Linked DNA regions of Oryza sativa Japonica Group. The protein of the gene in region 1 binds, or shares a complex with, the protein of each later gene. Links are inferred from orthologs where the notes say so. Each region holds a gene or a part of one and is shown on either strand. Other genes may lie near its edges.

Region 1 (4,744 bases):
CGAGTCCCTCCGAAGATAAGATCTTGAGCGCTAAAGCATTTGGGTATAATGGAACTGCTCAGAGACATAGATGTGGCTCACTGCGCAGTATGATGTTATCAGGAGCACGTAGCAAATTGGAGTTCAAGTATGCACACATTCCTGTGGCATTGGAGGCTACAATCAAGGTCAGGATTACAGGAGGTTCAACTGATTTCTGTGGAAAGTTCATTGCACATACTGCTAGTATCAATGAACATGTCATATTGCTGGACTCTGGGGAAGAAATGGTGGCTTTCTCCCATGATGGAGCCATTCATTTCTGCCGCAGTGTAGTTGCAGTTGAAGGAAATGGCGGAGCGTTGATTGTTGATGTTCATGCAAGGCAAAGTGGTGATGAGAACATCAGCTGTGCTTCCAAAAAGTTTATCCCGGTAAGATGTGGATGGAGTCGTGACACACTTGATGTTGGGTTTTGCCGGATGAGCGTTGAGGTTTCTTGGTCGCTCATGTTTTCATATTGAGAAAAGCGTAGGCCCTGATAATATTTTTTGCTTGCTGTGACTGAAGCTGTTTGCTCCACGGCATTGTAATATGGCCATGTTTAATATTCGTTGTAAATAAAATTTTCAGTTTATAGCTATTGAATTGTAGAGTAGTCAGTTGCTAAGCACAGCTTCAGAAGAAATCACAAGATTAGTTAGGTATACTTAGGTTAGCCTGCAATTGCTAGTGCATGGTGGAATTATAGGAGGATTCAATGAGCCCTGCACTAGTGGTCTAGTGGATGAAACCAACTTTTAGGACTGAATTCAATATTTTTCATACTTAAACCTTGTATCCATAATAGTTTATTTTGTACTTTGTTTGTTGATCTATATCTGAAATAACTAGAATAGTTCCAATGTACATTCTCTTTCACTCTGGTTGAATGCAGATTGCATCCTTTGTTGAAGTCCCTTAACGACCACACAAACTAATATTGCACTAAAAGTTACCGTATGCAATACGGTAATACTAAAACATAAACTAACAATCACTATTTTATGAAATAGTATCACTGAAACCAACATTTTGGTGGGGTTGGCAACGTGGGAAAACGTAGATTAAGGACACAGAAAACAAAAAAAAAAACATCAGCTTATGATTAATTGAGTTTTAATTATTGCAAATTTTAAATAGATTTATTTAATATATTAGAACAACTTAGCAGTTTGAAAATCGTGCTAATTGAAACTAAGTTAGAATCTGAATATTACTCAGGAAAGAACGGGGCCTTTGTGATGACAAAATTTGAATCTATGCATTATAATTTCAACAAGTATTTCAAATTTGACTAGTTACTAATACAATGCATAACCTTTTCAAATTAGAATACAACTTATGAAAATCTAAGACATAGAAAGAACCTGTTTGACGGAGTTTAGGATTAAGCAGTTGGTTATTTTCTGGATTCTATAGTTACAAATTCTTAGAATCGGGAATAAAATCTAGGCTGTTTGGGGATCTACAGCTAGGGAGTTTGATTTTTTAGGAGAAACTGCAACCGTTATAAGCTCCCCAAACGCTCCCCAAACTGAACCATACTGAGATAGTAATGTGACAACATTCTTCTTCTTCTTCTTCTTTATTAAAAAAAACACAAATCTCATTTTACAATGTGATTCATTGGGCTCTCCCGGCCCAAGGGCCCAAGAGTAAAGCCCCACAAAAAAGCCCATAACTCCAACCGAATCTCCTCACAACCCAACTTCCCCATCTAGGGCCAGCGCACTCTCCTCCTCCCCTCCTCCGCCGCCGTCTCCGCCGCCTCCAGCCATCGATCCCGGCGAGCCAGCGACCGAGCAGGCCTAGCCACCATCCTTCTCGCCCCCCACCGGCGTTCGCCGACTCTGTTCTTGCTGCTGTCTCGAGGTGAGTCTCGCCTTCCCCCCCCCCCCCTCCCTCTCTCTCTCTCTCCCCTCCGCTGTCCCAGATCCCGGATAGGCTCGCGTTTCTTGATTCGATGGTTGATGGATTTTGGTTTGTGGAATTGTGCAGGAGAGTTGCTGTTTGATCGGCCATGCCGGACAACAACAACCTCGAGGATCTGCTGCTGCAGGCGGCGGGGCGGACGACGGGGGCGGGGAAGGGCGGCGGGGCACGGGGGCCGTCGTCGGGCCAGGGCCAGCGGTGGTCGTCGCAGCAGCAGCAGCGGGGGAGGCGCGGGTCGTCGTACTCCGGCGGGAGCGGCTCGGACGACGACGGCGGCGGCGGCGGCGACGGGGGCGACTCCGACGACTCCGACGCCGCGCCGACCCTCTCGAGGAAGCGGCCGCCGTCGGGGTCGCAGGTGCCGCTCAAGAAGCGGCACCAGCCGGAGAAGGGCGGAGGGAGAGGTGGTGGTGGTGGTGGGTGGAAGGAGGGCGACGACGATGACGACGACGACGACGACGACGAGCTCGACGAGGGGAGGCGCAGCGGCGATGACTCAGACAGCGCGCCGTCGGTCGGGAGCGACCTGTACAAGGACGAGGACGACAAGGAGCAGCTGGAGAAGATGTCGGAGCTGGACAGGGAGATGATCCTGGCGGAGCGCGGCGCGCGGATCGACGACTACAAGCTGAAGCAGCTGGCGAGGGCGTCGTCGTCGTCGTCCAAGGCGGACAAGTCGCGGAGGGACAGCAGCCCTCCGCCGCCGCCGAGCCGCGCGCGGTCGTCGGCCAGGACCGACAGGTCCGCCGCCAAGAGCGCGCTGGACGAGCTGCGGGCCAAGCGGATGAGGCAGCAGGACCCGGAGGGGTACCGTAACAGGTTCAAGGATTTGATCCCGCAGAGCGGCTCTCCGCCGAGGCGCAGGGCCGGAAGCCCGCCCAGCGACGGTAGTAATGATGGTGATAACAGGGGGAGGATCACCGATGAAACCCGGGATGATGAGTTTGATGAATCGCCAAGCAGGCTTGACCCTCTGAAGTTTGACGATGTGAAGAGTATAACCCTCAGGAGATCAAAGCTTGTGAAATGGTTCATGGAGCCGTTCTTTGAGGACCTTGTGTCTGGGTGCTTTGTGCGGCTTGGGATTGGCAAGTCAAAATCAGGGACCCCTGATTACAGGCTATGCATAGTTAGAAACGTGGATGCGAATGACCCTGACCGGAAGTACAAGTTGGAGGGCTACACGACGTGCAAGTACCTCAATGTTGTGTGGGACAATGAGGCTAATGCTGCTCGGTGGCAGATGACTCAAGTATCAGACTCCTTTCCCAGTGAAGAGGAGTTCAAGAAGTGGCTACAAGTGGCTGAGAAGAATGGTGTGCGAGTACCGACTCGGCAGGATGTATTGGAGAAGAAAGAAGCCATTCAACAGGCCTACAACTTTGTGTATTCAGCACATACTGTACAGAAGATGCTAAAAGAGAAGAAATCAGCTATCAGACGTCCTATCAATGTTGCTGCTGAGAAGGATCGGTTGAGGAATGAGTTGGATATGGCCATTGCCAGGAGGGATGAAGCTGAAGCAGAAAGGATCCGTTCAAAGCTCAATCAGCTGCAGAAGATGTCGAAGCCAATATCAAATAATGAGAAGGCTGCCAAGTTGGAGGCGATGAACAAGAAGAACCGTGCTGAGAACTTCAAGAACGCATCAGAAATGAAGCCCGTTAACACGAGTTTGAAGGTTGGAGAGGCTGGTTATGATCCCTTTTCAAGGAGATGGACAAGATCAAGAAATTACTACGCAGCAAAGCCTGAAGGAGAGAGCGCTGAAGTCCCCAACGGGAACGATGGCAGCGCAGTAGCTGGCGATGAAGATACGAAGAACGGGCCGCGAGGTGGTTCAGCAGCCACTGCAGCGGCTCTAGTGGCAGCTGCTGATGCCGGTAAGCTGGTTGATACCAATGCACCTGTAGATCTGGGAACGGAATCGAATTTGCTGCATAATTTTGAGCTCGGTATATCATTGGCCGGCCTGGAAGAATTCGGCGGTCCCAAGGGTCTCTTCGATGGTTACATGGCGAGGAAGCAGAAGATTGAAGCAACCATGGGTTACAAGGTCCCTGACAATGATGGAAGGAGGCATGCTCTAACTCTGACCGTCAGTGACTACAAAAGAAGACGGGGTTTACTCTGAACTTCTCAAGTTATCTGTGCCTCTGCCTGCTGTTCGATGGATTCATCTGCCTCTTTGGCCACAAAGTTCATCAGCTGATCGGCACCATGCCATTGTGACTACTTGTCCAGATCAATTTGCATTTTAGCCTTGAGTGTATGTAACATGATGAGACAAGCAAGGTTACACATTTTCTTTTCATAAACAGGACCTGTATGCCTGAATTGTGTTGATGACAATTTCCGCATTAATATTTGTGGAGTGAGTCCTTCTGTTATTTAGTTTGTTACCCTTGTTGCTCTGCATAAAACATTTATGCAGCGGATATTGGGAGACTAGACTAAGAGGTACAAATATTCTATGTTGTATACTTATATGCCAAAAGGAAAAAAAAAACATGTGTCAAGTTATGAAAGTTCCTAATGTTCCTTAATTAGTTCGGTCTAAATCATTATATCAATGTTGATTATCAGATTCTTATTTCTATACTACAAAATGTAAAAAAGAATAGCAATGGCCGTGATACTATAGCAAAATTTCTACTGGAAGAAGGCAAAGCTTGTGTTGAATAATAAAATCTTGTGTAAGATAAAGCTGAGCATCTGCTGCATTGCATCTCAGGAAGCTTCATAGGCTGGTCTACTCACGAAAGGCATACACAAAAAAGGCTTAATTAAA
Region 2 (4,066 bases), on another chromosome or scaffold:
ATTCCTCTTTTCATTTTCTTGCATCATTGTCATTGGTCCCAAGAATGCGGGATTATTTCCACGTGATATATTTATACCTTTTCCTTGGATTTGAACTTGTTCTCCCTGGAATGGGAGTTTAATCTTGCAATTCATTTTCTTTTCATTCAAAAATGGAATCTATGACATGTTTGGTTTGCTGTTCAACTAACCCTACCAAAATTTAACACTTTTGGTTTGCATTTGGTTTGCAAATTCTGATAGTCTTGAATGCATTTGGTTTGAAACCTTACCAAATTTATTTTGGTATAGCTTTTAAGAACGCAATTTTCTGAAACCACTTAAATTTGATTGGGTAGCGGTAGTAACAATGGGGCTGACAGGATACGCTGGCCGCTGTTGTCTACAGTCGTTTCCAATGCTATCGCAGGCTCGCATCCATAGGCAGCAAACACAACCGAACACGTCTAATATGTTTGGTAATGTCAAATTTTGATAGGGCTCAAAAGTGAGAACAAAACAAGCATGCATTTCTACTACTTTCTTCGTTTTATATAAAAGACCCTTTGATCTTTTCCTAATCAAACTTTTAACCCAAATATATAGTAACATTTTTTTACCCAAAACAAACACACGACCATAATATATTAAAAGTTAGGTTTAACAAAACTAATCTGGTATTATAGATATTATTATTAATTTTTCTATAAACTTGATGAAACCTAAATAGGTTTGACTTAAAAAACAAAACAGTAATATATGAAGATGGACTTGTTATTCGAGGGGGAAATGATAGTATGGGCATTTACTTTTATCAAATGGGCATGCCAAATCAGCCCAGTTCAGCCTATCCTGAAAGGCCCAGTAAAAATGCAGGCCCAATTACTCCTCAATGCCCAATTCTCTTCTTTACAATTATAAAAATTAGATGTTTTGCCGTTATTTATTAATTTATTCATTAGTTTTAAAATACTGTAGAAGTCGTATAAGAAATCTCTTTAGAAAAGCTCTTATGCTAACTTAAAATGATCGGACTCCTAACTGCGACTTCTGATTTTCTTAAAAGAATATACATCCACGTGAATTCTCACAGCTAATTTCACTTTTAACTAAACCGCATAACAATAATAAGATTAAACTAGACTTCACATGTTGCAACAGACGTGCATTTTTTTTTCTATTTTTTTATTTTAAAATCATCTGAAAAGAAAAGAAAAAAAAAGGAAATTTACTAGTACTCGTATCGTCTTCCTCCTCTCTAAAACCCACGAACCCCTCGTCTCTCTCACTCCCCTCCCCAACCAGATCAAACGCTAGGGTTTCCTCGACTTCGACTTCGTCTTCCTCCTCGAGCAGAGCAGCAGCAGAGATGAAGCTCGCGGGGCTCAAGTCGGTGGACGGGGCCCACGAGGAGTCCATCTGGGCGGCGGCGTGGGTGCCCGCGGCGGACCACCGCCCCGCGGCGCTGCTCCTGACGGGCGCCCTCGACGAGACCGTCCGCCTCTGGGCCCCCGACGACCTCGCCTCCGCCGCCGCCTCCCCCTCGCGGGGCCACGCGCTCGGGGTGGTGTCGCTCGCCGCCCACCCCGCGGGCGCCGTCGCCGCCGCCGTCTCCCTCGACAGCTACGTCCGCGTCTTCGATGTGGACTCGGGCTCCTCCGTCGCCACGCTCGAGGCCCCTCCCTCCGAGGTCTGGGGCATCCAGTTCCACCCCAAGGTAGGTGATGATCCTACCCCCCACCCCACCATCTTTGCTTTGCGATTCACATTCTGAGGTTGCTTGACTAGATTCGTTGTGTGGGGGAGATGTGAGAGGCGTGGGATTTCAGTGTGATAATGTGGTAATTACAGTTGATTCGAGCATCATTTCCATCTGTTGTATGGGTTTGTATAGTTTGGAATATGTCTAGTGTGGTTTTTTTTACCTAGTGTAATGTGTGATCTTTTCTCAGATGTTTTAGTAGATTTTAGTATCATTTTAACTGAAACTTCATGACAAAAGTGTGGCCTTGATTGGCACTTTGTGGTAGTTTTATTAGATTTAAAGAAAATAAAGGAATCTAAAAGAATGTTTTCGCAAAGTTAAGGAATATATGCAAAGTGATCATTTCAATTTTCGAGCAGTTCAAATACGCAATTGATGACTGAGGTTTGGTTGTTAAATTCGGTGGGCAAGTCTGACAGTATATTCAGTTGTTACTGCTTATTATCATTGACCACAGTACCTCACTTTTGTGGAATAGCGCTCCTTCATCTCAACACTGCAACAAATTTAGTAATCGCTTTGAAGAGGATCATCATGTGAAGTATGGTGTTTCATGCATTGCTGGCAAAGTGTGTGCAACATTTACTGCATAGTCGCTTAGACTCTGAGAATAATGTTGAATCCTACCTTTTCGATTCTCTTTCAGACTCAGTAAATTAAGCGACAATTAATTGTGTATCCAAACTCATTGGACATATTTTTATCATAGTTACAGGTTTTGCATAGGTCCTGTTTTCATGCTTCCTTTGTATTTTAAAAATTGATTTGTATTCATGTTTTTCACAATATGCCAGATAATTATCTATTTGGGTAACCCACCTTTCTGTGCAAGATGACTAAACATCACTACGCCCATTGCAATCACTGCCAGAAATGGTTTGTCAAAGTAGCGTATCTGTGGTCAATTCATTTTCATATTGCCTTGTTGTGATTCATCTTGCTAATTTCCAGAACATACTATTTTTCTTAAATGATATTTTGGTATGTACTAAACCTTGCTAGAATTGACCTATGGCCTTAAGACATTATTTATTTTCTTCCATAAACGTGTTGATACAATTATGTCTAATTCAATGAGAATCGGAGATGCTTGTTCAAGCTTGTCTTCTCACTTGCAGTTGAGACGTGTTACGCATTCAGCGTTTTCCACTGTGCTATCTCTATATACCTTTGTTGACAGCATATACTAATTTTTCTAAAACCTGCAGTACCAGGAATTAACCTCCTTTTATGGTAGCCTCACTTTACTGAAGGTCTTCACTTGTTCTAGCTACTGACATTATTACCTCACCCACAAATGCTTTCCTTCACAGGGTAGTGCTCTGGCTGCAGCTGGTGGTGGCAGTGGATCAGTGAAGCTCTGGGACACAGAGAAGTGGAAGCCAATTACCAGCCTTGCTGTTCCGCGTCCAGAGGGAGCTCGCCCTGATAAAACAGGAAGCGGCAAGTTTGTCCTTTCAGTTGCATGGAGTCCTGATGGCAAGCTCTTAGCTTGTGGTTCCATGGATGGCACCATCGCTGTGTATGACGCAGTTCGCATGAAGTTCCTCCACCACCTTGAGGGCCATCACATGCCAGTGAGATCAATGGTGTTCTCTCCAGTGGACCCGCACGTGCTCTTCACTGCCTCCGACGATTGCCACATCCACATATACGACGCCAAGGAGAAGAGCCTCATTGGGGCCATGTCAGGGCATGCGAGCTGGGTGCTGAGCATCGACGTGAGCCCAGACGGCATGGCGGTAGCGACAGGCTCCAGTGACCGCACGGTCCGGCTTTGGGACATCAACACGAGGGCGTCGGTGCAGACGATGAGCAACCACAATGATCAGGTCTGGGCTGTCGCCTTCCGACCACCGGGTGGGACAGGAGTCCGCGCAGGCCGGCTTGCCAGCGTGTCAGATGACAAGAGCATCACCCTGTACGATTACTCATAGTTTTAACACTGCAACCTGCAACTTCATTGTAGTCAGCTGTTTCCAACTTGCATTGGAAAAAAAAACCTGTTGTACAATCCTAATTAAGCTCATGAGTTGCAAGTAGAGTGCGTTTATTTCCAGTATTGGCCTCAGAGTTGCAAACTCGCTCCTTATTGTTCTTTTGCAAGTGATCTCAAGTTGTCAGTTTGAAGTAAAAATATCTTCAATTCTAGCCCGATTAAGTGCTTTTGTCACTGGAATTTATAATCTTTTTTTACAGTCCTCATAAGCCATAATGTGAATATGTGTCTTGCCTAACTCTGAGACGCCTCAGTGTTTATATCTGAAGGTAAACATAGAAATGCGCTATAGAAATGCTTCAGTTTTTCAAAGTGAAGCATCA

The links.
Region 2: protein RTF1 homolog (region 1) and WD repeat-containing protein VIP3 share a complex: the UniProt entries of both Arabidopsis thaliana proteins name them as parts of the nuclear PAF1 complex. The link is inferred for Oryza sativa Japonica Group from reciprocal best matches to the Arabidopsis thaliana genes VIP5 and VIP3.

What each region holds. Positions count from the first base shown.
Region 1 is NC_089046.1:21,992,598-21,997,341, forward strand, and holds protein RTF1 homolog, read left to right. Parts: upstream 1-1,720; 5' UTR 1,721-1,893; intron 1,894-2,019; 5' UTR 2,020-2,041; coding exon 2,042-4,087; 3' UTR 4,088-4,481; downstream 4,482-4,744. UniProt on the Arabidopsis thaliana protein: Component of the PAF1 complex (PAF1C) which is involved in histone modifications such as methylation on histone H3 'Lys-4' (H3K4me3). Involved in regulation of flowering time.
Region 2 is NC_089045.1:28,461,550-28,465,615, forward strand, and holds WD repeat-containing protein VIP3, read left to right. Parts: upstream 1-1,266; 5' UTR 1,267-1,348; coding exon 1,349-1,696; intron 1,697-3,057; coding exon 3,058-3,681; 3' UTR 3,682-3,898; downstream 3,899-4,066. UniProt on the Arabidopsis thaliana protein: Component of the PAF1 complex (PAF1C) which is involved in histone modifications such as methylation on histone H3 'Lys-4' (H3K4me3). Involved in regulation of flowering time. Required for the expression of the flowering repressor and MADS box gene FLC.